Linked DNA regions of Arabidopsis thaliana. The protein of the gene in region 3 purifies or fractionates together with the protein of the main gene of each other region. This does not show direct contact. Each region holds a gene or a part of one and is shown on either strand. Other genes may lie near its edges. The genes, in order: AT1G09640, AT1G57720 and AT5G12110.

Evidence for each region.
Region 1: the proteins of AT5G12110 (region 3) and AT1G09640 fractionate together in Arabidopsis thaliana (co-fractionation; one large-scale study listed by BioGRID). This does not show direct contact.
Region 2: the proteins of AT5G12110 (region 3) and AT1G57720 fractionate together in Arabidopsis thaliana (co-fractionation; one large-scale study listed by BioGRID). This does not show direct contact.

What each region holds. Positions count from the first base shown.
Region 1 is NC_003070.9:3,115,737-3,126,132, reverse strand, and holds AT1G09640 (Translation elongation factor EF1B, gamma chain), read right to left. Parts: upstream 6,395-10,396; 5' UTR 6,125-6,394; intron 6,017-6,124; 5' UTR 5,972-6,016; coding exon 5,963-5,971; intron 5,746-5,962; coding exon 5,596-5,745; intron 5,508-5,595; coding exon 5,447-5,507; intron 5,347-5,446; coding exon 5,294-5,346; intron 5,175-5,293; coding exon 5,073-5,174; intron 4,963-5,072; coding exon 4,473-4,962; intron 4,361-4,472; coding exon 3,981-4,360; 3' UTR 3,591-3,980; downstream 1-3,590. Other genes in the region: AT1G09650 (F-box and associated interaction domains-containing protein), read right to left, coding at 1-155; AT1G09645 (uncharacterized protein), read right to left, coding at 1,786-2,024, 2,897-2,978; RAB11c (RAB GTPase 11C), read left to right, coding at 6,562-6,726, 7,295-7,783; AT1G09625 (uncharacterized protein), read left to right, coding at 8,566-8,790; AT1G09620 (ATP binding/leucine-tRNA ligases/aminoacyl-tRNA ligase), read left to right, coding at 9,678-10,396. UniProt on the Arabidopsis thaliana protein: Probably plays a role in anchoring the complex to other cellular components.
Region 2 is NC_003070.9:21,373,522-21,383,932, reverse strand, and holds AT1G57720 (Translation elongation factor EF1B, gamma chain), read right to left. Parts: upstream 6,614-10,411; 5' UTR 6,213-6,613; intron 6,199-6,212; exon of another isoform or gene 6,110-6,198; 5' UTR 6,061-6,109; coding exon 6,052-6,060; intron 5,777-6,051; coding exon 5,627-5,776; intron 5,549-5,626; coding exon 5,488-5,548; intron 5,395-5,487; coding exon 5,342-5,394; intron 5,231-5,341; coding exon 5,129-5,230; intron 4,991-5,128; coding exon 4,504-4,990; intron 4,199-4,503; coding exon 3,819-4,198; 3' UTR 3,554-3,818; downstream 1-3,553. Other genes in the region: AT1G57730 (RING/U-box superfamily protein), read left to right, coding at 2,551-3,075; AT1G57700 (Protein kinase superfamily protein), read right to left, coding at 10,073-10,264, 10,345-10,411. UniProt on the Arabidopsis thaliana protein: Probably plays a role in anchoring the complex to other cellular components.
Region 3 is NC_003076.8:3,911,017-3,920,763, reverse strand, and holds AT5G12110 (elongation factor 1-beta 1), read right to left. Parts: upstream 6,297-9,747; 5' UTR 6,282-6,296; coding exon 6,196-6,281; intron 6,097-6,195; coding exon 5,980-6,096; intron 5,891-5,979; coding exon 5,815-5,890; intron 5,646-5,814; coding exon 5,516-5,645; intron 5,395-5,515; coding exon 5,281-5,394; intron 5,196-5,280; coding exon 5,032-5,195; 3' UTR 4,536-5,031; downstream 1-4,535. Other genes in the region: PDE149 (integral membrane TerC family protein), read right to left, coding at 27-107, 188-275, 366-442, 524-669, 818-886, 998-1,151; AT5G12120 (Ubiquitin-associated/translation elongation factor EF1B protein), read left to right, coding at 2,676-4,535; AT5G12100 (pentatricopeptide (PPR) repeat-containing protein), read right to left, coding at 6,926-9,376. UniProt on the Arabidopsis thaliana protein: EF-1-beta and EF-1-delta stimulate the exchange of GDP bound to EF-1-alpha to GTP.

The DNA.
Region 1 (10,396 bases), on a different chromosome or scaffold from region 3:
CTTCGCTGGAAGAATGGAGATTCAATAGTTGATTTCCATTGTTTCGATACAGCCTTGAATCTCAGCAGAGGATCCGCATCAAGTCTCTCTAGGATGCACTCTACGACCTCGTGGGGCAGCGATTCCATCATCAAGCAACGTTGCTTTTTCGACATTCTTGTAATTGCAGACAAGTCATTGTTGATGAAGAGATTTAAGAGGCTTATTTATAGATAAAACAGGAAAACAAAAATCTTCTATAGAAAAGACAAAACTCAACACTTTCCGTTTCTCAAAACTCAACACTTCCTTTTCATCAGATCAAGGAAAAAGGATCTTCCTCTCACGCGCGCGGCACAGATCTCCTAATCCTATTATCTACTTAACATTTTTTTTTTCTAAATTGTAAATATTTCATAGTTAATGAAAAATAGTTTAGGTTACAAACATAGAATTTGAAACATATGCATATGAATCCATGGTAAAAAGATTAAAAACATGGAAACATAAACCGCTTGATGAGTATGGAAACATAAACATAGAGGATCTTCTACTGTTGCCGGAGCATGATAAAGCAAAGTATCCGCTTGATGAGAAAGCTGAGAAGAAGAAAGGAGCCAAGAACCGTACCAACCCTTCTTGCAATTGACCGTTTTTGACGAAAATGAACTCGAACAGGTATGTAGATGAATATATATCTTCCCAGTTTCAATTTCTTTTGTATTTTTGTTGGATTTATTCGGTGGCCGTTCCTCTGTAATCCTTAGTTCTCTCTTGGTTTAGGCTAGATTGTTTGATTCATATTTTTGACATGAATGTTAATCCCTCCTTAATTATCAACATCTGTGATTTGGTATACACTAGGGAGTTTCTAATGAAGGTTGTTGCCCATAATATTTGTAGGCAGACAAAAATATGATAAGAGGAGGGAGTTTGCTTGCAGCTTCTTTGTGTGTCAGTGGGACATGAGGAACAAGCCACTTGATAATTTCTGTATAATGTGTTGAGTTTTGAAACACAAACATTAATTTCATTTTAAGTTTTGAATTTCTCCATGTGTCTATTTTACTCTTCATTATCTACTGGTTTTGAGATTTAAGGTTCAGATTCAAATTACTTCAAATGTCCGCCACAATTAGACAACAAAGAGATTTAAGAAACACATATGTACAATTAAAGTACAATTCAAAGCAGAGGTGATTTGAAGTACTCGAGCGGACTTCAAATATGGTTTGCGTCAAGACAAAGTTGAGGATTACTTTAAAAGTTTTGTACTCTATTTAAAAACAGTATGCATTCATTTATAAACCAGTTTTTATTTTTTTCTTGAATATAATTTAATATTAAATTCAAAAAAAAAAAAAAAAGACATGTTAAGAAATCTCCATTGGAGATGGTCTAAGGAAAAGTAAAACTCAACACTTTCTGTTTCTTAAATCTAATCGTTTGAGTAAGAATTTTCTAGGAATCTTAAGACAGGGACACAGATCTCTTAACTAATTTGTCTAGAGGGTTAGAACCTAAACTTACATCGAATTTGTTTAGAACCTAAACTCACGCTATTTGTCAAAAAAAAGTGAAAGAAAGAAAAATGAATTGTACAACATTGGAAAACAATCGTCTGGAGAGGATAATTGATGAACTGATGATGATTAGTGACAAGACAGCTACATCAGTTACTAGCCCAACAAAGTATGCGTATATATATACTTCAAATTTAAATACCCATAAGTGATAAGTTCCACCTACATGCTCAGACAAACGAACACAAACAAACATGAGGCCTTTGTTGACAAATTTGCGTTTTTAATCTCGAAGACCTAATTCAACCTCGAGTTCATCATCTTCCTCAAACAGCTTCAACAGTCGAGCATACTGCTCGTCTCTTTTCTTCTTTTGCCATAGCTTGTATAGGAAGAACGAGAACATGGCCACAGCCACAAATCCAACTAGAACAAGGATAACTTTTGTGCCTGTTTTGCTGGAAGAAGTATGAGATTCTGTCTTAACTCCTGCATTCGTGTTCTTGGAATCACCCGATAGACCTGAAAATATCATATCAGAAGACTTAGTTACTAGATGCCCTCTTAGCATATACAACAAAAAAAAATCAAGGTTTATGGTGTCCTCAAGTGCACTCGTGACTGTAAAATCTTGTCGTGTAGACACTCACTAGTCAGCTAAAGCTACACAGTCTATCCTCAAATAGTTACCATGTTTCTTATATTCGACTAAAGGGGAACAACAACAGCTACACACATAGACAACAGAGAACAAGATCAATTGCAACATGCATTTAAAGAAATTTACGGGAAAGAGAAAGAGATGAGCCTACTTCTTTTAAAAGCACATGGTGGCCAATTGTATAAATAGCTTATGTAAGAACTTTAAATGTCTGAAAACTATAGGCAACAAGTAAATACATATCTCATTAGTCAACTGCAGCATCACCATGAAACAACTGAGGAATTATATAAATACTTGTCACAAAAGCAATAGATTTTGCAGACAACCTCTTCAAATCAGGACATGGTCTCGCATTTAGGACAAAGGTAAACAACTATTATCCAGTGAAGTTAGTAAAAGAAACTATAACCACACCAAACCCATGAACTGAACGGTAAAATCCTCTTTGCTTATTTTCTCTTCACTAACATGTTAAGCACAAAGTTAGTGATTTGGCCAAGATCTACTCAAAAGAGAAATACAATCTTCCTATCTGCATGTTTCGATCCTGATCGCAAAAGACCTAATGCGTAAAGATTAAACACACTGTAGTATTTAGAAAGAGCCAAGTTGAGCTAAATATAACATAAATCTAGCGAATTGAGAACCTAAAATCCCAAAGGAATACTAAATCAGATGAGGATTCTACAAAAAAGTGAAATGAAATCAGATAGATCTGAAGAAGACGAACCTAAGAAGAACTGCAAACCAATCGAAGCGAAGAACAGTAAACGCCGCCATGAAAGACCACCAGTTGCTGAGTTCTGTCTCATCTCTCTCTGTCGATATGATTTTTCTGCTTGTAAGCAAGAACGGATCGATCTTTACTGCTGCAGAGAACAAATTCTTCTGGTGGAACAACTTTTGATGTTGAAATTAGAAAAAGGGAAAAGAACAATTCGACCACCCAGATTTTCTTTACAGGATTATATGCCTTGTAGCAGTAAAGAACAATTCATTTCGCTTGAGACCAACTTTATTAAATACGTCATTAATAAATTGATATACACTACCTTTCTTTTCTTATTTTGTGACCAATCTAACATATAGTAATATTTTTGGTAGTTACCAATCTAACGTATAATATAATTATCTATACATTTCTCAGCGAAACAATAATTTTTTATTTTTTGGTCAAACAGCGAATAATAATTATAATCAGCAATTTGTATATATAATCTGATACGAAAAATATTATGAACAAATGTTACATTATTTTGTCATAAGTTACATGTTCTTTTATTAGAGTTGTGTGGCGTATTAAGTTGTCTACCTTTTTTTATTCGTTAGTTAATTTCGAGATGAACATGCCAGTTCTTCTTCTACGAAATTAACTAGACTTATTATTCTTCAAGAGTTTGCTTTTTCAGCAATTTTTAAAATTGGAAAAATGTTCAATATATGTGCCAAAAAGACTTTACCACTAAATGTTCAACTCAAAGACCAATGTATATAAGTTGACCGAAACGCGTCAAAGAAAATCAATCAAGGCAAAATTACCGTAAAACAAATAAACCAGACCATGTATTGCCTATTGCCAGGGTAGACTGGCCGGTCAGGATTTCGAAAACTGGTATAGTAAACAATTCTGGACGGAGGCGAAACATTAACAAAGAACTAAAAAGACTTGTCCTTGACACTCGATTAGAAAAGAAAAAAACAGTCTATGCGACACGTCACAGAGCAAAACCCCTATGTGAGACAGACAGATAGAAAGATATGTAAAGCCCCAGCTGCAAAACCTGTAAATGGAAGTACCAAACCATTCTCTCTTCTCACTTGAAGCACTTGGCGTCCAAGAGAGCCTCACCTTCAAATGGCTCTGCGTCTTCAATCATCTGGCTAACACGCTCCTTCTGGGCTTCATCTGAGATATCAACCTTAGTCCACTCATACAGCTCCATGTCGTACACCTCGTCCATTATGAACTTTGGGATCTCTGGTCCACGGAACAGCCATAAACCCTTCACCTTGAACGGACCCTCTGACCCACAAATCAGCATCTTTCCAAAGGAGTATTTACGTGCCAAGTCCATACGCTGAAGGAACCCACCAACCTTGTTGAGCGTGACAAATGACACCATGTTCTCATCGTTGTACTTGTAGTCACAGAACCATAGTGAGTATCCCTCTGGGTCATACATGTCCCAGAATCCTGCATTTGAGCCACAATATTAGACATGATAAAAAACAATTGATTCCAATAGCTAAATAATTCCCTGATAGCAAAGCTGAAAAACTAGGTAGAGGAAGATATCACCACACACCTTTAATAGCAACCTCGCGGAAGTTAGATTTGGTGTTTGAGTAAAGCCTCTTCCAATCATCTAGAACCATAGGGCTTGGTGGTAGCAAGTCAAGAGGGTTCTTGGCTTTGGGCTTTGGTGCCTCTTCCTCTTCAGCAAGCTTAGGTGCCTCTGCTACTGGGGCTTCCTTTTTCTTAGGCTCTTCTTTGGGCTTTGCAGGCTGGGCAGCTTTCTTGGAAGCAATAGGAGGGACAGCTTCAGTCTGTTTGACATCACCCAACACTTTAGTGAAGTTTGGTTGGTTAACCACAGTCCAGAAGTACCTCTCAACATGAGGAAATTCAGAGGTAAATTTCTTGGTCATGACAGTAGCAAATCCCAAGTTCAAGTTGCAGACAGTGATGATATCAGCAAGGGTAATAGAGTGTCCGACAAGGTAAGTGTTAGACGTGAGATGTGTGTTCAGAGCATCAAGTGCTCTCTTCAACGTAGAGATCGCACCTTCTTCAGCCTTCATTTATATAACAATCACGGATGAGACTATTTATATAGTGAAAAGAATACCTAGATTGCCATCACAAAGAGTGAATGAAACAACCAATGAAAGTCAAAAAAGCTTACCGGAGCACTGTATGGCATAAAGCCCATTCTTGGGCCGAACCACCTCAAGATACTTGCATAGATCTCCAATGAAGAGAAATCAATCCATTGCTCAATTTGTGCCTGCGAAAAAACAACATGCAGATAACCATTGAGAATACTAACAAATAGAATGACAAACAATAGAAGAGGTGTCAATGGATTAGAGAAGAGTAGCCCCCAGGGAAAAAACAGCTACTTACATATTCGATCAGGGAGGATCCGTTCAAAGAGTTGTCACCATTCAATCGGCTTACTGTATTGAGATATCAACAGATCCATTAAACCCAAACGACAACAAGCAATCAAACTAGACACTGAGAGACAATTAAAGGAGAAAGTTATGAATGCTTTACCATAACGGGCAATTGCGTTGCTTTCAAATACTGAACCCTCGGGAGTCTCAAGTACAGGAACCTAGCAAGATCAATAACTCTTGGTTAGCTGAAAAATAGACTTAATAATACTCAGTCCAGAAATTTAGCAAACACCAGTGATGACAAACCTTTCCAATAGGGTTCATCTTGAGGAACGCAGGGGTTTTGTTAGTGACACCCATCTGAAAGTCAGAGGGCACATCGATCTGCACACCAACGTACTCTGCTGCAATGAGTGCCTTCTCAGCACTTTTGTTTCCCTTGTACGTGTGCAAGACCTGCAATCGTAATTCATCATCAGCACAATAATACGTATTCCAAATCAATAACTTAACAATAGAGTAGCTACATATCCAAACTAACATAATTTTAATCAATTTGGTGTATGAACAATCGTTCTATAAACTTAGATCCTAAAATTTACAAATCTAACGTTTCTACAATTATATCGATACATGATGCGATCGTAACAGTAGACAATCATAGAGAACTCACCAAAGCCATTGCTCAGACGGAATTCAAGCGAACTTGGGGCTTCTGATATCGGATCTGGTTCCAAGGAAAAAAAATCAAGCAGTGAGCTCGCAATTGACATGATCATAAATATGAATATGAGCTAACTGGAGAAAAAAAGATTGTTCGATCGATGGATCTTACCAGATATTCTGAAGAATCTTCCGTGAGAGCAAATCGAGAGAGAAGAAGCAAAAAGTTGAGGCGGAGAAAAGCTATAAAGGAGTGTTGAAGGGATGATGATGAAGAAGTAGGGTTTTTAAAATCTGTATTGAGTGTATTCCTCTGGTTTGGCTCGGTTTTGTTTGGTTTTATTTCTGATTTTTGTTTATTTTCCGGTTAAGCTCTAATTACTTTCCCTTTTATTAGCATGTATAAATGAATTACATATATGTAGGCTTTTTTAGTAAGCCCAACTTGACAAGAAAAGGTCTTCGTCGTTGGGCAATAACAAGCCGAGAAGGTTGAATAGAGAAGATCCAAGGGGAAAGAGAAATTAAATTATTTATTTATTTCTGTCATCTTCTCCTTTTCTATTTCAAAATCCCAAATCTAAAGCACTCCTCGAGAAAAGTGTAACAATGGCGAGAAGACCGGACGAAGAATACGACTACTTGTTTAAAGTGGTTTTGATCGGAGACTCCGGTGTCGGCAAGTCTAATCTCCTCTCTAGATTCACTCGCAACGAGTTCTGCTTAGAATCCAAATCCACCATTGGTGTCGAATTCGCTACTCGTACTCTCCAAGTACGCACACATCTCTCTCTATATATATAGTATATAGTGTAATCGAAATGTTGCTGGATCTAGGTTTAGTTCTAAGTTAAGCAGCATCCGGTGCTTTTCGATTCGATCCGTATCTGTGTTCGTATGAATACTCGGAAGCAGTCATTGTGTGTAGGAACATTTGGGCTTGGTTTTGAATTTTGATGTTTACATGTGTGGTGCCTGTTTTTTTCATTTGGTCGAGATTTTTGCTTTGGTATCTCTTAATTTAAGCGTTTTATTGATAATGTTCCCAAATTTGTCGATACTCTGGTACGTGGTAGTGTAAGGCTCCCTCACATGTCAGATCTAAAACCTTGTTTAAGGCAGATCTAAGAATCTCTTCATCTGAAATTGATCTCGAACATGATTTTCTTTTGAAGTATGAATCATGGTTGTTGTTTCACAGTTTCTAGTTTTCTTACTGGGTTGTTTGTGGAATTTAGCTGCGAAGTTACTAATTTTGTTGTTGCAGACACACTAATCATAGAGTCTGCTGCTCATTAGATCTGAATTAACCTATTAAAAAACCTATGATCTTTGTTCTAAGGTGGAAGGAAGGACTGTGAAAGCTCAGATATGGGACACGGCTGGGCAAGAACGATACAGAGCCATAACTAGCGCCTATTACAGAGGTGCACTTGGAGCTCTTTTGGTCTATGATGTCACCAAGCCAACAACGTTTGAGAATGTAAGCAGGTGGTTAAAAGAACTAAGAGACCATGCAGATTCCAATATAGTGATCATGTTGATTGGGAACAAGACAGATCTGAAGCATCTCAGAGCAGTTGCCACAGAGGATGCTCAGAGCTATGCAGAGAAAGAAGGCTTATCTTTCATCGAGACATCGGCTCTCGAGGCATTAAACGTAGAAAAGGCTTTTCAGACGATTCTCTCGGAGGTTTATAGGATCATCAGCAAGAAGTCGATATCTTCAGACCAGACAACTGCAAATGCCAACATCAAGGAAGGCCAAACAATTGATGTGGCTGCTACTTCTGAATCAAACGCTAAGAAGCCTTGTTGCTCATCGTCTTGAAAGGCTTTGTTTGTGTTGCACTTAAAAAAAGCCAAATATCTATGAGACTTTATTTCAAGGCTTGCGTTGTATTTGTTTTCTTTCTTTTTTCTGTTGTTGATAATATAACTCAAAGATAATTTTTTATATCAATTGTGGAGTTCGGAATCGTTCACACAAAACAAATTTTGGAAACGAAAAATATTTTTAGGGAATTAATTGTAGTTTTGAGTGGTAGTTGTAATGTAGTATCAGAAAAATAAGCAGAGTATAAAATGAAATAAACAAATACCAACGTAGACTATAGTTTGAATTTTTAATAGAGCAGAAATTCTTCGATTTCAAAGATAATTTAAATAAAGTAGACAAAATCACACAATATACATTTTTCAATCAAGAAGAAATGGAAAAGCAAAGAAAGGAAGTTAATTAAAAAAAAGGGGGAAAAAAAAAACGGAAGTCAACAAGAATACAGGCAAAACCAAAAATATATATTTGACGGAACAAAAAAAACAAAATATATATTTTATAGTATTAGTTTATGACATTATCTTTTTGCTAGTTTATGAGATTTATGAAGAAAAGGAAATATACTTTTAAAGTTGATAAATTGAAAAAAATTAGAAGAATGATTTACTTTTATTTTAGTTATTTTCTAGCAAGTTTTTTGTCAAAATGGTAAATTTCCAAGTCTTTCGAGTAGTTCCCGCCTCCTATAATATCAACAACTTTTAAGCAACTTGTAATCATCAACAAACAATTTACTTTGTTTCTTTGTCACTGAAAACAAATACATAAAAAAGATGGAGATCCCAATCTGGGGATGGTGTATTATCGTCGCAGGAATAATAATGGTGACGGTTTTATGCAATTTGCTCGATAGGTGGTGCTCGAAACCTCTTGAGATAGAAGAAGATGGTAAAGCGTCGTCTTCTGTAACTTTGGAGAAGAAGGATCCAGTGAAAGAAGATGGTAAGAGCAAGACGAACGAGAAGGCACAAGCTAAGCCAAATAATAATCTCGTTTGAAGAAAATTTTCAATATATTTGTTTTGCATCCCTTGTTTTTATCATATAGTTTTCTTATTTTTAACAAAGGTTAGACTCTTGAGAATCTAAAGAGTTTGAAAGATGTTATCTATGTATGGTTTCTTTATCTTATCATAACTAACTAAACATGTTGTGTGGTGTTGATGAAAGATTGAAAGGATTAATCAATCACATTCTCTAGAACCAAAGTCGAGAATTCTTTTAACTATTAGTCTCTTAGATTTGCTTCCATTACTAATCTTTCAAGTTTGAGGTGTAACTCAAATTTCTCAACATTTTTTTTCATGCAAATCTAAATTTCTGCAAATACAATGAAATTATACCATTAAACAATCCACCATATATAATATACGACATAAGCATCGCACAATAAAAAACCAGTAACATTTGAAAAGGGGAGGAGAAAGAAAACATGAATATTATTTAACAAAAAAAAAAAAACAAAAAAAGAAAAAGAAATTGAACGTCTACTAGTTAAAAAAAAAAAAAAAAAAAAAACTTTGAAGTCCCCAAATATCTGGGCCTTTTAGTGGATGTGGCCCAAATTCTAAATGGGTTTGACTTGGATCCGGTTTTGGCGAGACTAGTTCAGTTTAATAATCAGCCGTCGAATCCAAAGACTGAAGAAGGTAGTCTTAAAGAAAAACCCTAGAAACCATTACTTATCTCTCCCACTGGCTCTGTCTCTGTCAAATCTCGGATCGATTTCGCGGTGGGCTCGATTCGTGATTCCTCAAAGTTCATCATCCCTAAGGTAATTCTCTCCCCAAGCTGGTAGACTCAATCTACCGATTTTTGTGTTGCACTTAAGAAGCCGATATCTAAATTAGAGGTTTGCGTTTTTTTGGGGTAGGCACTGTCACTTAATGGCATCGGAATCGAAAAGCTACGCTAGGAGAGATCGTCTTCTTGAGATTGAGGCCACTGTTCGAAAGTGGTGGGAAGACGAGGATGTATTCAGAGCCGAATCTTGTGAGAATCTTCCAAAACCAGGAGAAAAGTTTTTCTCAACCTTCCCTTTCCCGTATATGAATGGTTATCTACACATTGGGCATGCCTTTTCATTGTCCAAGGTTGATTTTGCTTCTGCTTACCATAGGCTAAGAGGAGCTAATGTGCTTCTTCCATTTGGTTTCCATTGTACTGGTATGCCAATTAAGGCTTCTGCGGATAAGCTTCGTCGTGAGATTGAACAGTTTGGTAACCCTCCTGTGTTTACTGCTGAAGACACCACCAAAGTTCCTGAAGTTCAGGAGGAGAGCAGTGATACTATAGCTTTACCGATTCCGGGTCAGTTCAAGGGAAAGAAGTCTAAGGTTGCTGCCAAAGCTGGTGGACAGGTTTATCAGTGGGAGATTATGCGCAGTTTTGGTCTTACTGACAGTGAGATTGCAAATTTCCGAGAGCCTTCTGAATGGTTGTATTACTTTCCCCCTTTGGCTGTTGAAGATCTAAGGGCATATGGATTGGGTTGTGATTGGAGACGCTCGTTTGTGACCACTGATGTTAATCCCTTTTTCGATGCCTTTGTGAGGTGGCAGATGAGGAAGTTGAAATCTATGGGAAAGATTGTTAAAGACCGCAG
Region 2 (10,411 bases), on a different chromosome or scaffold from region 3:
AAAATGTGTCTGCCCGGTCCTCGAATCTTTGTAACGCTTACAAAACCGCCTTTAATCTTTCTAATCTGCAATACGACTGTAATGAAATAATGCATGTTTCAGAAATAAATTAAAATAAAATGCAATAATGCAACATTCATTTTTCCTTAGAGAAATCTATATGTTATCATACTAAATAATAATTCATAATTAATTTTTGAAATATGTTTATAAAATTGTCACTTTTGTTGAACAAAAAAAGTATTTTTTAAGCTTCAACAATGAAAACTCCAAATAAAATAAAATTAGAAGGCTTTTGATTTTGGTGAAGCCTATATTTATGACATAAATTTAATATTCATTCCATCTTAATAAGATATGGGTAAAATTATACATTCAATATTCATCTGAAGAAAACGTGGATCAAGAGATATATCCAGGTGTGTGTCAAAGATACTGAGCTTGTGTCTGATGACTAGAGTTGACAAGCTGGAGAATAAAGTGGAGCTGCAGACAAATGTGATATCAGAAATAGAGCTTTGTTTCTCTCTCGATCATTACAAGAACAGACACATAGAACAATGACTTCTTCTTCTTATGTATGTAGTCTACTCATGATGCTCCTGAGTTGTTGTCTTTCTAAATGCAGCTTGATTTCTCTGCATTTTTTCATCCTTTGGAGGACTCCTCCTCATCTTCTGACACTAGATTTGTGTTGATCTCATGGCTGATCTTGGACATAACATGTGGATGCTTAGAAAGAAGCCAAAAGAACCAAGTGAGAGCTGATCAATTTGTGGTATCTCTTCCTGCTAACACTAGACTAAAAACCACATCTCTTATAAACTTATCATTTCTCCGTTTCAAAAGCTTGTGGCTTTCTTTCTCCTCTCTTCTTGAAGATATGATCTTCGAAAGAATTTCATTGACAGTTCTCAGCTTCCTCTCAAGACCAATTCCAGTCCAGTTTGACACTAGCTTTGAGATAAATTGTCCATCAAGCTATATACACAACACCTGTACATTCTTGAAGTGAGCAGTCTTGAGACAACTCTTCCGATACATTTACTTGTACGTGTCTCTTTCATTTTCTTCTTCTGAGAATCCCACTGAACCACTTCAATAATCTCATCTTTAGCTTACTCCTCTGGCAATGACCCAAACGGACTGCAAAGTAATAATATGTTTAAGGTTACATCCACTTAGTTTTCAAACACCATAGTTCAGGAAAGCAAATAATAACAAATTTGCAATGTGTTCATTATGCAGTTAAATGGAAGAAACTTTAAGCAGAGAAAAAGTGGTTAAGAGCTATTCCTAGGATAGAGAGAACTGCAGCGATTACAATGATCTCATCTGAACAACCAAGCTCACTTGAAGTCAAAATCATTTTCGATATCAAAAATGATGAAATGGAGACATGTAATAATGCAGTAGAAAATGCAAATGAACATTATATTTTAGATAACTCAAGGTCAAGAAGATAAAGTACCAGTGGAAGTTCTACTTCTTGGAATCCTGTTGGCGAAGTAAGTATAGCATCATCATCAAGGATCTGAAGTGAATAAAGTACTTCAAGTGCTAGGATCATTGCTTCATGGGACGGAGGCGCAGGCCATTCGAAACCAAGATATTATCTATGCCTAAAGCTTTTAGCTGAAAAAACCAAAAAATCAACAGAGCTTGAGCAATTTAGAAGCAAGAGCTCTCCCAAATTTTGTGTTCTTAAAATAAAATGAAGCTAAATGACAAGAGTTGAGCAAGTTTGGTATTACAGTAGAAACAAGATTCGACCTCTGCATCTCCAGGCATTTGGTTGAGAAGATAATCTTCGTTGTAAAGCCACAATTAAGACTATGTTTTACTGCACAATGACAAATAAGAGAAGGTTTTTACCGACAGGATTAACTCATACTCTGAACAGATTATACTGTGCAACAAAATCATTACCTATACTTTGTCAAGAGACAAGAAGATGTTGCTATTGCAGGATTTTGCACTGTTATGCCTCTCTAGCTAACATTGCAAACATATATAGCAAATTACTAGGTTATAAATTTTCTTAATGGTCTAAGAACCCTGAAGTTAGCAAAGCCAGGTGCTTTCCCCCAAAAGAACACTGGCAATCTCTGTCTATGCTTCATTAAAATTAAATTAGTGATTTGGATTTATTTGGATACTTTTAAATTTTATGGAGATTTAATTTGATTTGAGATAATTTTGTAGAATTTACTAGTTACAAATCTTAGTGGTTATGGATGTCGAAAAAAAAAGATGTTACAAAAACCTACGTAGTTATGATAACTAGAGATTTTATAATATTTAATTGAGAAGCTAAAAATATGAGGTTAAAACCAAAAAAAGGAAATTGTAAAAACAAAAACGAGATTACAAAAAAGGAAATTGTAAAAAAAATGGAAATCGCCGACTTAAGGTTTAGTTATAAAATTAACAACAAACACAAGATCACTTGTCAACAACATTCATCACAACACAAAGACCATCACTTCCTCTCTGCCTCCGTCTCTTGTTCGGTTTCATACCTTTGTCTTCTAATTCCAAAAACCAACAATGGTTCCAGAAATCACTATTGATGTTAACGTCTTTCCGAGTCCACGCAAGTCTTCATCGAATACAGTGGAGATCAATCTCAAGCGTGAGAGCGACGACAAGTGTGATGATGCTCCTCTGTTCCAAATCACTCAACTTATCTTAAAAGACGTCGTTAACTTTGATCCACACAAGACCTCTCCTCTCCTCGAAACAATCTTTCCAGACAGTATCTCAGGCACTCGTCTTTGCGTTGAGATGGCTTTAGCATCCGAACGAGTTCCAGCGCCGTTTGACATGTACCTTCACGTCACAGTGAGATTCGTCGAAGAATCCACTTCTAGTTCTCCTCTAGAAAACAAGACATGCGCTATTTGTTTGGAGGATATGTCACAGGATGTACATGACTATCAGGAGATGCCGAATTGTCCCCATGTCTTTCATAATGACTGTATCTACAAATGGTTGGGTCATAGTAATTTGTGCCCTCTCTGCCGCACTGTTCTTGAAGATGAAGATGACGACGATTATCCCTACTACTCCTAAACAGAGTCATGAAGATTTCTTTTTTTAGGGTTTTTAGGTTAAGAATGATGATTTGTTGATTTTCTTGAGATGATATTGTAATGATTCGATTTGTTTGAGATAATATAGTAATGATTCGATTTATTTGATTTTCTTAAGACAAGATCTTAATCTACCTTTTGTTTATTTTGGTCATTAAACTCTTTGTAGAGAACGAATTAGGTTTACTTGGTATATCTTCTCATCTTAATAAACTTGAGTGATTTTAAGCCTCTCGGACCTAATATCTATGAACATGTTCAACATACACTCTCCTTATAAGCTCACCTCATGGCTCTATTTCTTACACCTATCTCTTAAATGTTGCTGTGTAGACCAACATTCGATTGGCTTAAAAGGAATTTGGGTTTTAGTGAACATATCTGAATCATCAAGTTAGAGACGTGTTAGAGACAAGTTAGAGACGTGTAATATTACAACTTTAAAATGAAATTCAGTATGCCCCATTAAACGAGATTCTTTGCATCTTCCAAGCAACTAATTTAAAGAGAGAATGTCACACACACGAGTTTGGATAATAAAAAACAAAATAAAAACAATAACTAGAAGTTGTAATGTATTTAAGAACAATATTCTGTCAAAATAACATTGAGAAGCAACTAGTTCTTAAACCCGAGTACGATTCAAAAGGTGGTAAGGACTCTCTAGAAGGTATCAAAACACGAGTAACAGAGTAAACCTCTACGGAGATACAAAGAGCCTTTTCACTTAAAGCATTTGGCGTCCAAAAGAGCCTCGCCTTCAAATGGCTCAGCGTCTTCAATCATCTGGCTAACACGCTCCTTCTGTGCTTCATCGGAGATATCAACCTTAGTCCACTCGTACAGCTCCATGTCGTACACCTCATCCATTATGAACTTGGGGATCTCTGGTCCACGGAAAAGCCATAAACCCTTCACCTTGAAAGGACCCTCTGACCCGCAAATAAGCATCTTTCCAAAGGAGTATTTACGTGCCAAGTCCATACGCTGAAGGAACCCTCCTACCTTGTTGAGTGTAACAAAGGAGACCATGTTCTCATCGTTGTACTTATAGTCACAGAACCATAGTGAGTACCCCTCCGGGTCATACATGTCCCAGAATCCTGCAATGAAGAAAAACATTCAAGGCATTGAGCTTAATAGAATGTACTTTCAGACTCTGGGCCATACATGTCCCATAAACCATAGTGAGTACCCCTCTAAGTCTACTATATCTAGCTTAGGAGGCAATTTAGTAGACTAGAGCAGCTGTGAATTGTTTAGAGAGTCGTTAGTAAGCACTGGTATTATAAGGATGTCACAGCACATTGTCTCGGATTTTTGTAGCTTTCTTCTTAACAAGTTGATTCCATAAACCTAGAACAATTTCTTCTAAAGAACAATTAACAGAAGTCATCATATAACATACCTTTGATAGCAACCTCACGGAAGTTGGATTTGGTGTTCGAGTAAAGCCTCTTCCAGTCATCGAGAACCATTGGGCTTGGTGGTAGCAAGTCAAGAGGATTCTTGGCTTTAGGCTTTGGTGCTTCCTCCTCCTCAGCAGGCTTTGGTGCCTCTGCTACAGGGGCTGCCTTCTTGGGCTCCTCCTTGGGCTTAGCAGGCTGTGGAGCTTTCTTAGTAGGAACTGGAGGGACAGCTTCGGTTTGTTTGGCATCACCCAACACCTTCTTGAATTCTGGCTGGTTAACCATTGTCCAGAAGTATCTCTCAACATGAGGGAATGCAGAGGTAAATTTCTTGGTCATCACGGTGGCAAATCCCAAGTTCAAGTTGCAGATTGTGACAATATCAGCAAGGGTGACAGAGTGTCCAACAAGGAAAGTGTTGGAGGCGAGATGTGTGTTCAGAGCCTCAAGTCCTCTCTTCAATGCAGAAATTGCCGCTTCCTCAGCCTTCATTCAGATAAAACCATTAAAAAGATTAGTCAAGCTTAGACTAGTCAAATACTAATCTTAGCGAGTAAGGAGTAGCATGATTTGTTAGTACAGAGAGTGCATGAGACAAGGCACAAAAAATGAGGGAAAGCTTACTGGGGCAGAGAAGGGAGCATAGCCCATTCTTGGAGCAAACCACTTCAACATGTTAGCATCAATCTCCAATGAGGAGAAATCGATCCATTGCTCAATGTGAGCCTGAAAAGTAAACACATGCACATAGACATGAATCAATGATAGTAAACAAGAGATAAACACAAAGGTACGATAATTTTAAAAGGAAAGGCCATTGGATAAACAGGAGCTTACGTATTCAATAAGGGAGGATCCATTCAAAGAGTTGTCACCATTCTTACGGCTCACTGAAGGGGGATAACAAAACAATCATCATATCCAATTAATACCAAGTTATAGATAGGTGCATCAAAGAGAAACAGAAGGAAATGAAGTTATACCATATCGGGCAATGGCATTGCTCTCAAATATGGGACCTTCAGGAGTCTCAAGCACAGGAACCTAGTGGGATCATAATCTTTTATTAGCTAGGAATTTACAGCAAACATCAATCAAAACTTCTCGAAAGAGATTCCATACCTTTCCAATAGGGTTCATCTTAAGGAACTCAGGTGACTTGTTAGTGACGCCCATCTGAAAGTCTGCGGACTCCTCGATCTTCACACCCGCATACTCTGCAGCAATAAGTGCCTTATTGGCACCTTTGTTTCCCTTGTATGTGTGCATGACCTGATAAATAGTATGATTTACACAAACTTCATCAATGAAACTCAACAGAAATTGCATAGTTATATTCATCCAAAGTAGTTTTTCAATGCAACACAAAATCCAGTTCTCAGATTAATAAACAATCGTCCAAGATACCTAAATCATTCTAAAATCAAACTATATTCCCAGATTTAAGATACATGAATCAAAATTCATAAACTATCATCAACAGATCAGTAAAACCAATCGTGACGGATCTGATGAAACGTGTAATGATCTCAGAAGTGAGTACTTACCAACGCCATTGCTCAAACGGAGAAGATATACGAACTCGGAGATTTTCTGAGTTCAGATCTAGTTACCAAAGAAAACACCAAGTAAAAATCAGTTAATCGTCGATGAAATTTTGAAACGAGAGAAGCGTATATGAAGAAGAAGTTGATAGATTGATTCTTACGAGAGACTTTCTGCAAAAACAATTCCGAGAGAGCAAAGCGAGAGAGAAGAAGATACAAAAGCGGCGGCGAGAAATAGTATTAGAGTGTGGAAATTAGGGCTGTGTGAAGTCGGTTTTGGAGAATATTCCTTTTTCGTTTGATTCGGTTTAGCTTTTGGTTTTGTCAAATTTGGTTTGCTTATTTTTAAGGTTTAAACGATTATAACTTTTGCATTTATGTATAACATAATAAAAATTAGCGTATTGTTTTACCCAAAGTAAAGTTGGAGTTTTGTTTTTGCATTTTTTGACAGATTTTGCTGACATTTCCCCATGGCCATTTTGATATGTAGTTTAGTTGGTTGTATCCATATCCTTGGTGTGCCAAACTCGCATGTTGTTGAAAAAGAAGAAAAAGAAACACTAGTTCATCGAAATTCGTAGAAGCAACCTCACAAAGTTACTTCTCTGATTCATGTCTCTATGTGGTTTCTTCCTCTCCAAGATATCCTAAACGACAACCAAAAACAAAGTTTTAGACCATACAAACTAAACTTTAAATCCGAAAATGATATATCCTTTTTAAAAATAAGTTGTGTTGTGCTTTTTAAATTCAAAAGGGTTATTAACTTATTATGCAAGATTGATCCATAGATGTAAACTAAAACGTTACCACGTACAATGCCAATTAATATAATTAGGTTTTTGATACACCAACTCCAAGTATGGGTTTGAATAAATACAAAATTGATGAATTTTGTAACCCTTCTTTCACTTTGTGAAAATGAAATAAAATCTTTTAATTAAGTAGCTTCCAAAACTATTAGAGGGCATTATTGGTAGGTCCACTAAACTATGTTATTGTTCGTATGTCATACATATATAGATGTTTTTTTATTGAGTTCGATTTCTTCTACGAAGTTTACAAAATTGGTTACCTTCCACAAGTCTTTGCGTATCATTTCTTCACAACTTACTCCTTTTGGTCAACAGTACCAACAACTTTAATTTCAAGCATCTTCCGCCTCTTCTTCTTCTGCACTGCGTTTACTTTGTGTGACCAAAAATCCAAACTAAAGATATGGAGGTTCCAATCTGGCAATGGTGTTTGATCGTCATAGTGATCATATTCTTGGCAATTGCTTCCCATTTTCTGGGAAGAATCTTGTGTAGCCCTCGAGAGAGAATCGCAGATAGTAAAGCCGAGAAAAAACATGGACCAGCCGAAGCAGACAAGACTGCGAAAGGTGGCTCCGACCAACTCGTGTGATGATCTCAAAGAGCATGCATATATCGTCAAGTTTGGTTTGTAATTTGTAAGTTCATTTTTTTTTTTACTATTATTGTAAAATAATACTAATTGTTCACATCCATATATACATATATGCGTAAATATATATATGTGTGTGATCAATTCCAATTTAAAAAAAAAGAAGCATTGGAGAGAACACTAGTAAGCTCTTAAATTTGTTTTCAATTAGTCATCAACTCATCATCAAGTCTAAGAAACCAAAATGTAATTCGGGTTTACAACATTGCATGGTTAGCTTCATATTATGGGAAATTAAACTTTGATAGTTAGACCAAAAAAAACAAAAAACGTTGATAGTGTTGACCTTGGTGATGGAAATCAAATGAAATCAACTTTTAACCGTGGGTTGGCTATGTGCATATCGGATTAGAACCGATAATTGAGCTGCTGTAGACTCGCTTTAGGTTTGGTTTAATGTCCATGTTATGTTAAAAGGCTGTTATAATTGTTGAAACAAAGTTTTACAACAACCAAATTAAAAAAAAAGTTGTTGTAACAAAGCATGCTATAAAAAGGTAGAGCAAGGATCCATCTTGTGTATGATATATATATACATTTTAACATATGTAATTTCGTGTGAGAAATTCAGTTACTGAGAAGATAGTGAATTGCAAGTATTACGTAACGTAGGGATCTCAATCAAGTCCCGAAATCGTAAAAGCCTCACGTCTTTTCTTCTTCCTATTTCTTGGATCCTCTGTTCTTGTTCTGTTTTTCTTTCTTTGGTGGTTCTTGAGAGATTGAGAGAGTGAGTGAGTGTGAGAAATATTAAGTCAGAAGGATAAAATTCGATTCAGCTCCGCATATTCGATTGACATAGTTTAATTAAAACAGTGGAAAGATTCATGCAGCTTATAAAAAAAAAAAAAAAAAACCAAGAAATACTTTGATATTAGGTGATCAACGAATAATCTGAATATTGCAGAAAATATGATGAATGTTATTTTTCTTGAGCTTGCAAGCAGAATTTGAATAACTTTTCTTCAATATTTAGGGTTTATATTCCACATAATTTGAAGGCTTTTGTAAAACCTAAAAACGTACTATTTACAATTTTAGATTTAGCTTCAAATATGTAATAGTAAATCTTAAGCATGTTGCTAAAAAAAAAAAAAAAAAAAAAACTTATGCATGTAATTCTTTACATTGATGTATATATATATACAAAATATATTCATATGTTACAAAAAGAATCCTAATACTGTAAATTCATGATTTATCTAAAGATTTGTTGCTTTACTCAAAGATATTTTGTTTCGAAAAGAATATGGTTAATTCATGATTTATCTAAAAAAATTTTGGTTTACTCCAAGATCTGCAGTAACATAATGGTTAATGTATCTCATTGATAATTGATTGCCAGGTTTAAAGCCCGATAGAAAATATCTTTTTTTTAATGCGATAAAGAATCATGTTTCATAAAGAATCATATGTTTCATAAAGAATATTGCAAAAATTAAAATTAAAAAATTTCTATGACAAATTGTGTCAGGATCATTAGCAGTTATGGCCCGATGTTAATAGGAAAATTTTGGCTAATCCAATTCAATCTCTAATATACTAGATTGATGGTTCATGAAAATCTTTGGGTGTTTTCAAGGAAATGATCAAAGGGTCTTTCTTGGTGCAAAGTGTCTTCGGAGGTGTCCCTCCTCCCTACACTCGGAGATGAAAGTTTTAATTTGGGTTATGAAGAATATCCTTTCAAGAAGGATTGATTGTAAGGCTTTTGAAACAGATTGTTAGAAGTTAGTCTTCGATGGTGCAGTCTCTTGAAGAATGACCCACTTTATCCAATCTACTAGATGAGTTTAGAATGCTTTGTGTGTTATTTTCCGGTTTCTCGATTTCTTATATTTCTCGTTTATATAATTGTAAGGTGGATTGTTTAGTTCGCTCTTCTCGTTTACTGCTTTCGGAAATTTATTTTATAGACTATTTCTCTCCAAATTAGGCAATCAATCATGAAGTTATATTTTAAATAATTTGTGGTTGATAAAAAAAAAGATTTATCTCAAAATCCGTTGATTTATACAAAGATCCGCTGTAGCACAATGGTTAAAACAGCTGTCTAAACATCTGATTTCCGAGTTCAAAGCTCGGCAGTGGAAAAATATTTTTCTTTTTAATTTTTTATATTAGAATGAAATTGAAAACGCCTCACTTTTAATGCAGTCAAGACGAAACTAGTCTCTCGATATCTGTTTTAATGAGAGAGATAGAAAAAGGTTTCTAAACTTTAGTTTGAGAGCTCGTTGACGAATAATAACATCGTTTTCACTTTTCACTACAGAGTAGGATTTAGTGATTGGTGAATCTTTATTCTCTATGATCAAGATTTATTAGATTATCCAAAAGAATGGAGAACATTAATCAGATAAACTGTTAGCAATTTGACTATACAACTCAAGATCCTAAATCCTAAACCTTTCTTCTAAACCATACAAGTCTAACAAACAAAAAAATGCAAGTATGATGAAGAACCATCATCAGATTTTTAGCCAAAAAGTTTGTTTATTGTTGCACTACTCTCTCTAAGAAACTCATTTTGAATAAATCCCCCAAAATATCACCTTCCATTAGCTGGAAACAAGGTTTGAGCCTGTCGGTTATCGTCTCTCTTAGCCTTATCGGCTTGAGCTCGTCGTACAGCCAACAAGATCTGTCTTTCATGTTCTTTCAACATTTCATCCAAGTTTCCTTCTCCTGGAATCAATGGTCCTGAGTACTGAATCCTCCCTCTCTTCTCACCATCATAGCCCTGCTTTCACCAAATTATGTTTAGCCACAGATATACAAACACAAGAGACTAATAACAACAGTGTTACTTCTCGTTTTTACCATTATTGACTCTTTGCTAGAGGATGAAGGGTCATCTTTCCTAATACCATTAGGTTTCTCCAACAAT
Region 3 (9,747 bases):
TATTTTGATGTAAACATAGAAATCACCTGAAGAGTAGCTGTTCCTAGTAAAATGAGCGTGAAACGGAAAACAATTGCACCAGCTATACCGTAGGTAAGTACCTTATTCTATAGAAAGGGACACAGAATCAGAATACTCTGTAGTCAAGAGCTAAATCTCTGTGGCTCTGTGAAGATAGTTTTGGTACCTGATACATGAGTGGCACTTTGAAATACTTGAAAACAAGAACAAAAACAAACAAGTTGTCCACTGACAAGCTTTGCTCCAATATGTAGCTGCAAGAGTTGAAAACAGTTAAGATAGGAAATATCTCCTTGAAGAGTTAAGTGAAAATCAATATATCATATATAGTAAGCTCTACACACCCTGCGAAAAACTCTGAAGCCTTGCCAACACCTTCCTTCAAACCTATTCCAATTCCAAATGCCACCGCAGTGCCAACCTATTGAGATAACTATGAAATCAGGTCTCGCACATAGATCAAAAACGCATTATCACTTAGTAGATGCAAGAGAATACTAACACACAAGGCAACAGTCTTGAAGGAAGTTTTGTAAGTTTCTTCTTGTTGATAATCTTTCAGGCCTCCACTATCTACTGATGAAGAAGAGCGTGAAGTGGTTGCATTCTCATCGTTTTTGTGTGGTAGAAGTTCTCTGCTCTCCTTCTCTGTACTAACATGCCATAAACAAATTATTGTCACAAGATAAAGCTTCTTCCTTTATATACAATTGTGTCTTGCTAGCAAAAGTAAGACTGACACAGACAATTCAGGAAAAAAAAAAACAGAAGAAAATATTGGAGAAGAAGCATTCACCTTCATCTTCCTGATCAATACCTCTGGAACACGCGATAGGAGGAAGATGAGAGAGACGACGATTGGCAGCTGAAAGAATCGTAACCCAGAAGCACATTAGCATGACTCAGATAGATGAATCCTTCTTCCATTCACACAGATAAGGAATATAGAAAATGTAAAGAAAGAGAGAAGGAGGACCTGAAGCAAGAGAGGGATTTATAAGGAGAGAGAAAGGAGACTTAGTCCATCCACGAGCTCTGAAATCCGGCGGGAACACCGGAATGGTAAGAAAGATTCGATCCGATTTGGCCGGAGGGAGAATTCCGTGGTGGATAACTGAAGCTAAGCTCATTGCGTTTTGTGTCAAATCCAAAAACAGACTCCGAGTGACCCCAACTATATCAATCGGCGAAGACCACTCAAAACGTTGTCGTTTCAGATATTAGACGATGATACCCCTCCTTTTGGCTGGTTCATTGATTTCGGTTTTGAGTTTTCCGGTTTTTTAGATTTTTAATTAATACTATGGTACAGTTTTAGATTGAGTTTGGTTCTAATTAAACATATCATTAGTCTTCAATGAGTTTTAGATCTTTCGTTATCGGGTTGACTTTTGATACAACCATTAATAGTATGACTTGCATATTGGCGAGATGACTCATTAATTAAAAAAACACATCATGAAGTCATGGTTTGTCCAAAAGTCTTTGAAACCATATGTTGTTCATATGTGAGAGACTTAAGAATATAGAGTTTTCTCGACAATTGAAAAGTCTCCTTAATCCACCAAGTAATTCAACAAGACGTTATTGTTCAGTAAAGTGCATTTATTTTTTATTTTTTATGCTTAGTTCTTACTTTTGGATATTATTTTCTAACAGAATCCAATTATTAATTGTTTGTTGAAATTTGTACAAACCTTATTAGTTGTGTGTGTTATCAAAATCCTTAAAACTACAATACTTCTGTCCGAGTCCTACCCATGTAAATCTAACATGTTTAAATTAATCAGTTATGTTGACAACTGAAATCAAAACAAAGACAACTGGAAATGAACCTAGAAGAAAAAAAAAACTGAAAAAATCTAATAAAAGAAATCAATGGCTCAGACTTTGGTTTGGTTTTTGCTACTCATTTTCGGTTTGTTTGTTAAGAAATTAAAGAAAAGAAGGAAACAAATCAAAATTAGTCTAAACCAAACCCTAATTTGCCAATAGGTGTTATCGATTTGGGGATTCGAAACGCCGAGTTTATTCTCTTTTTTGGTATTATTCATATAATCGCACTCTCCTCTCGTTCCTCATCCTCATCGCCTTGAAGCTCTCTCACCTTCTTCTTCTTCTTCTTCTTCTTCTCCGGATCTCGCTTCTCCGTCAACGACTCCGATCAACCTACCAGGTTCATCTTTCTCTCTCCCGTCCCGTCAGTGATCTATTACTTCGATTTGGTTTCTTCTTCCAAATCTCGCATTTCCTTTTTCGCCTTTTAGGTTTCCTTGATTCGTTCGAATTTCGTCCCTCTATAGCTCAAATATGGTTTCTTCTTCTTGTTATGGATTTGATTTCAACTGCTAATGCTTTCTTTGTCGCCGCGAATTTGCGTTTTCACCTTATTCGATTCAGAATTGATCTCCGGAGATTGTTGTATCGTCTTTGATTTTCTGATTCGTTCTTGCAATGGATCCATTACGTTTGTGATATCAACGATGTAGTAGTAATAATAGTCGTCTCTGTGGAAATCTATGTTGAAGAATCTCCATCTTTGACATTGGAGCTCAAATCACCATTGATATTAGATATAGATGTTAAGAGAAGATTATTGTGTTTACTTATCTCATTTTTTTGTGAAAACTGTAGGATAACTTTGTGTTGAGAAGATGTCTAGTGCATCCAAGATGAAATCGAGAGACAAGAAGGTCATGAATGATTCACAGAAGACACCTAGTAAAGCGTCTGGATCCATGGGTGGAAGTAGTGTTGTGGTTGGTGGTTATAATCCACTTTTGGGGACATTTCAAACCATTGAGTCGCTTTCAGCAACTGGCTCATCATCTCTTCACAATAATGGCCGGTTCAGACACATTGATGAGTCGGATTCAACTGGAGCTGACTGTGATTCTGTCTCTAATAATGGTAGCTGGTCAGGTGAATCTGAAGATCACAAAGAGAAAGTACCTAGTACTAGTATTGCTGCAAAACAAGAAATCATTCCTGGAGCTGACAATGACAAGCGAGATAAGATGCGTCTGAAGAATGAAAGAAAGCATCAGCGTCAAAAGGAAAAGCGAGCTCAGGAGTTGCATGAGCGATGCTGTCAGTATCTCATGTCGAGAAAACTTGAAGTTCATGCTCAGCTGATTATATCTATGGGGATTCCTCATGAGCGGGCAACTTATGCTCTTATGTTGAATGAAGGGAAAATAGAGGAATCTATTAATTGGCTGTTTGATGATGGTGGGGCAAAAGTAGCAGATAAGAAACTAGATCCGACCTCTGGGAACTTAAAGCTTGACATATCACAAGAGTTGGGTAGAATCTTAGAGTTGGAAACAAAATATAAGTGCACCAAGCAGGATGTAGAAAGAGCTGTGGTTACAGCAGAGGGGGACATTGAGAAAGCAGAAGAAGCATTAAGAAGACAGAAGCAAGACCAATCTACTGCGTCTAGAAAACCAGAGGATATTAGTGATAGTACTTCTGTTAACAATAGCAAAGTCCCTTCTGTGCTCACAAGTCAGAATACAGTAGGCCAGTTACAACCTAACTCAGGTATGTATCCTGCAGGCAGGGAAGAAGCCCTTGACAGAAAGAATCTCGGTTACCCCAGAGGATCCAGCTACATTAGTGGAGAATCCGAAAACCAAAGTGTAAATTCGTTGGAAAGAATTCACATGAAGTTGCAGTGGATGAAACTGCAGCAAAATGCCCCCCTTGAAGAGAATAAACGCATACCATATCAACAGACACCACTGTCTCGATCAACAGAAGAAACACATTATGTGACGGCTCTAGGCGATCAATTCAAGAGGCTTCAGCAGCAAGATATGAGGGAACCAGTTATGGTGATGCAGCAGCAGCAGCAACAACAACAACGTTCTCAATCCGCTAACACAAATGTGCTACCTGTCTCTACCATGAATGCATCCTTTACCGGAGCAGCAGCAGCAGGCAGCGGTTGGCACCCTGCAAATAGATCTGAGGCGGCCCAATCTAACGGATACTTGCCCTCAAGAAGTCTGCCTCCTAATGATCTGAACTCAAACCTGATGTACCAGCAACTTCAGTATCAACAATATCAAGGCCAAGTGAACAACAATGGTCACAGAATGGCAGGATCTTCTGCTCCGCCTGCTGTGGCTCCAGCTGCTTCTCTTGGGCTCTTCTCGGGGTTTGGATCACTGGCGGGATCATCTTCTTCTGGGCTGGACTGGAACACGGATGGGTCACTGGGGCATTTGGATTACAACAACATCGACTGGAGTCTAGATAAAGGCCTAGCTTGTGTGAGACCTAGCCAGCAGTATGTGGCAGCATCATCCCCATATAGTGCAGCATCATCCCCGTATGAAGCGCACATGAATGGAAGGACAAGAATGATGACGAATGGGAATGGGATGGGTGTGGCAATGGGAGTGCAGGAAGCTGCTTTAGTTGGAAATGGGAGAGAGTGGACATCGCCTTTTGAGGGTAAAGATCTGTTTAGTTTGTCTAGACAGTATGTGCCTCCTTCGCTTTAAAGGTGATAAAATGCTCTTCTTCTAGAATAAAGATAAATGAAAGGAGAGAGAGAGAGGTGATGGATGATATGAGTTTGTGGTTACTGGTTTTATCAAGTGTTTCTTGCTTGTTTGCTCAAAATGGATCTTTCAAATTTCCTTATATTTTATATCCTCCCCACATATTTAACATGGAGCTACCAAAATGCTTCTGAATATCACACCATCATGTGCTTTCTTCTGTTATAGCCTAGAAGAGGGTAAGCAGTAAATAAGGGTTTGGTATTTCAATGTGGTCACATATTAGGCCTTTTAACCGCAATTCTTTCCACACGTTACCAAGCCCAGGCAATTTATCTTAGACAAGAACTTACAAATAGCTTTTAATTAAGACCAAGTGAAGTGAAGTTAATGTGCTTCAACTCCAAAGTTGGCCTTGGAACTTGAAGAAGAGACTTTAGCGAAACACAACAAGACTGACACCAAAACTGAAAAACTCGACATCTTTCTCATGTGTCTAAATCTTGTTAAAAGCGACAATATCGACACTTTGGATGTACTCGTTGTTAGGCTCTGAGGTGAGATGGTCTTCAATGAGGTTGTCCACAGACACAAGGTCATCAACAATTGTCATCATGATTGTGAGTTTCTTTATCCCGTAACCAACAGGTACCAATTTCGCTGCAACAAATTGCTCACATCAGAAACCAAAAAAAAAAAAAAACTTGAGCTCTTGTGCAAAATAGATAAACATTCTTTGACTTACAAGCTCCCCATGTAAGACCTGGCATCTGAACACTACGAACAGCTTCTTCTAACTTCTTCATGTCGGTTTCATCATCCCATGGTTTTACTTCCAGTAGCACAGAAGATTTTCCACCTAACAAAAAAGTTAAAAGAGAATAACAAAAGTAACCAAACATGAGCAGGATCTCAAGATTCTAACAATTTACACTATAATAGTCCACAGTGATCCAATCCAAGTTTAGAGAAAGACTTACTCTCTTTAGTCTTCTTAGTATCTTTCTTAGCAGCTTCTCTCTCTTCAGCAGCTTTTTTCTCATCTTCAGTCTCATCAGCGAAAAGATCAATATCATCATCATCATCACCATCACCATCAGCAGCAGGTTCCTGCAGATATAAGTTGAGGGGCAAAGCTAAATTACAGTATACAAAATCATCATTCCAACAGCACCACAATTGCATTTTCCTCTACTTGATCTCACACTATCAAATAATTGTTTCAATTCTACAAACAGATTACATTGGCGTCATTCCATATTTTGACTACTTTTAGTACCTCAGTATGTGGATGAGCTTCAGATGGAGGAGCAACACCACCACCAACTCTCACTCCGTCTGCTTTCCCGGGAAAACTGAAACATTCAAAGAAGTCATCATTCTCCAAAGAGCCATTCAATCAGAAGATCAACAAGAAGCAAAAACGAATGAGAATAAAACGAACCTTTTAGCTAGGTGAGAAGCAACAGAATCGTACCACTTGCTAGCATTGGGAAAACCATCACCTGGATTCTCCAATACGGCAGCGTAAACCTTCACATCATCAACCGAAAGCTGATCGCTGAAACAAAACCGAGTTCCAAGATGTAAGTAGAAACTGTGCAAAATCTAAGCTATTGATGAATGATATAGCAAATTATGAAAGAATATGCGTGTTTACCCGGAGATGTACGTTTTACCGGCGAGATGTTCCTCGAGGGTTTTGAGACCTCGCTCTGTGTGGAGATCAGAAAATGTAACCGCCATTGATGCAGCTCAAGTTAAGTTTCTGTGGAGAGAAGACGAGCTCACTCACTCTAAAATAGGGTAAACCAGAGAATGCCTTGAAGAGATGCTTCTAGTGACTTTGTGGGGCTAATTTTCTTTTCTAGAGTGTTCCCTCCCACCGTGCCACTCACACGTTTGAAAACTCTACTAAATTTTTGTTTGTTTGTTTTTTTCTCATTTATGTTTTGGTGATTTTTGACTTATGTCACATCATTCTAGTACAGTCCGGTTTACTGTTTTCTGTAAAAAACAGTAAAAGCTTGAGACATTGCGTATGATACAAATTAGTTCTATCTCATTTTCAAAACAGATAACTAGAACAAATGGTTTACTATTCTTACCTTTGTTAATCTACCAATCAACCTAAAGCCTAACTCAAAGTCATTGTACCTATCGTAAATTACCATAAATATGGATCCCATAAAAACGTTGTGGACTTTTAAGGTCCTCAAAGAAAGTTTCGGTCATGACTCATGACATCTACTGGTGGATAAGATAAGTCAAAACCTTAACCGAGCCAAACCAAACTGAAATCATCTACGGAGCCCTGATTCGGACTGACCAGATTGGTGGAAGTGAACCAGGAGTCAAAGGATTTATCTTGAAGCACACATTATTGATTTTCAAAGCTTCTCTGTTGCAGATAGATCTTCATCCACTGTTACATCACCTAGCATGCGACCATTCATCTCAGAAATGACAATCTCTGCCTCCTTTGACCTCCATTCTTCTTTAAGCCCACTCACTAGCTCGTTGCCTATGCAAACATCTAACAGAAAACCCTTCTCTTGCATCTCTCTGTACCAAACATATGCACTCATATAATCTTTCACCTCGCAATGCCCTTTCACTATTATGTTATATGTATCAGCTTCAGGTTCCATTTCCCGGGCATTCATCTCGTCAATCAAACTCCTAACCTCGCACAGTTTTCCTACCTTCAGTTGTCCCAGAATCAAGCTGTTATAGGTTGTCTTATCCAAACCGATACTCTTTTCAATCATCTGCTTCTGCAAATTAAAAGCCTTTTCCATGTCTCCATGTACGGCGTAGCAATGGAGAACCCCATTGTAAACTAATAAGTCTGGTTTCAATGACATCTCTCCAAATAATCTCTCTGTGAGCTCTATCCCCTCCTTGGTACACAAACTGATCAAAAGATGATATGTCTTCAGAGTGGGTTTTATTCCTGATCTCTTCATCTCTTCATAGAGCGCGATACATCTTTGCACGTTTCCAGCGAATCCATATCCAGATATTAGTGAGTTATACGTGAATACATCTGGTTTGAGACCCTTTCTTGAGATTTCAAGAAGTAAGTCTTCAGCTTCTGATAATTTTCCGGTCATGGACAACCCATCAATGAGGGTGTTATAAGTCACCAGGTTTAATTCTATTCCCTTTTTGAGCATCTCCTTAGAAAACCGGAAAGCGTCTTCTATCTTCCCCTTTGAGCAACAACCATCGATTAGCATGTTATATATCCTTACTTTCGGTGAAACCCCTCTATCTTCCATATCCCTCTTAACAATCTGAGCTTCAAGAAGTTTAGAACCTTTGCACAAACAATTTATCAGAGTTCCATAGCTAACTACATTCGGCATTGTCCCGTTATCTTCCATTTCTTTAAGAATGTCGAAGCACTTATCAAATTCATATTTTCTCCCATAGCCCCCAATCAGGATGTTATATGTCTCCACGCTAGGAGAAACTCCCTTCAGTTTCATTTTGTTAACCTCTTTCTCAGCATTCTCCATTTCCCCCAATTCACAAAATCTCCTAATCAAACAATTATACGCCAAATGATCTGGCTTCATCCCTTGTTTCTCCATTGCTTCAATTTTCATACGAGCACCAACCAGATCACCTTTTCGACAGTATCCATCAATCATAGTGTTATAAATAACCTCGTTCGGGACAAGCCCCTTAGCCATCTCTCTCCCCAAAATCTCTTCCGCTTTCTCGATCTTTCCTTCTTTGCACAACGCATTCAACAAAATGCTACAAGTATAAGCATTCATTTTCACGCCAGAATCAACCGCAGTCTCATAAACACCCAACGCAGCCTCAGCTTTCTCGTTACTCGAATAACCATCAAACAGAATACTGAAGGTGAAAGCATCTGGTACAAACCCCAGATCCTTCATTTCCTTCAAAACATTCTCTGCATCTTCCACCATTCCAGCTTTAAACAGCCCCTTAAGCAAAGTATTAAACGTAATAAGACTCGGTTCGATATGATCCGCTTTCATACGTTCTCTCACTTTAAAACTCTTTTCCGGATTCCCAGCTTTGCAATATCCATCAATCAACGTGTTATACGTTATCAAAGAAGGTAACAATCTTCTTGCAAGCATTTCGTCGAACAACTGTTCTGCATCATTCATCCTTTTCCCTTTACACAATCCATCAATAAGGACATTGTAGATAAACACACTGGGATAGATTCTATCGTGCTTCATCCGGTTAAACAGCTCTAAACCTTTACCTACATCGCTCAATTTCACAGCAGCTTGAATTGCTTTCCCATACATGAACTTACTCGGACGAAAATCAGATTCGAGAATGTTCAAAAACACGTTTATAGTCACTCTGAATTGTTTCGTCTTCACAAGATGATCAAGCAAAAGCGTTAACGAATCTGAGCTGGGATAAATACCTTCATTCCTCAAAGCGAAAAACAAATCCGCAGCTTCAGAAATCATCTTCGATTCGTTTAGTAGCACGGAGAGAAGCAAGTAGGAGAAATCGTGTTTCAACGACGGAGATGATAACGAGAAGGCGGAGAAGAGCTCTTTCGGCGATGCGAAAGGCGTAGAATCCGATCGAAGCAGCGAAGAGAGAACGCCACGCGCCGTTTCGATTCGATTCTGCTGGAGAAGAACTCGGAGATTCCGTAGCTTTTCGTCTCCGGTGACGGGATTCGTAGGCGGGGCTTGTTCGGGTTGAGATTCGGGTTCGGGGTCGGTGGAGGCAGAGAAGAGACGACGACATGAGCATGCTGAGACAGAGTCAGTGAACTTGACGGTGGCGTAACGAGAAGATCTCGAAACGAGTCTTAAGCGAGTCACCATCGTTGAGCTGCCGGCGACGCTCTGCAAAAGTGAATCTTAACGAAATAACCTTAAAATAAAACGAATATTCGGACATGAATAGAACTTTGATAATCATTTTGAAATTAAAAACAAAATTGTTCATTTCATTGCTTGATTATACTGTTTGATTAAAGTTTTAAGGAAACTTTACATTTTTCATTTCTTGTTGTCACACACTAGTATCACAGGTCACAACAAGGTAAGAAGCTATTGCAGAGCAATGTTCTCTCTGCCATGTATGAGTTACCTTGTCACGTTTGGCTTATGCACTAATGAGATAGTAAGCTATATTAATTTCACCATCATATCAATTTAACGATTCAAAGCACCTTGGATCGCATATACAACAC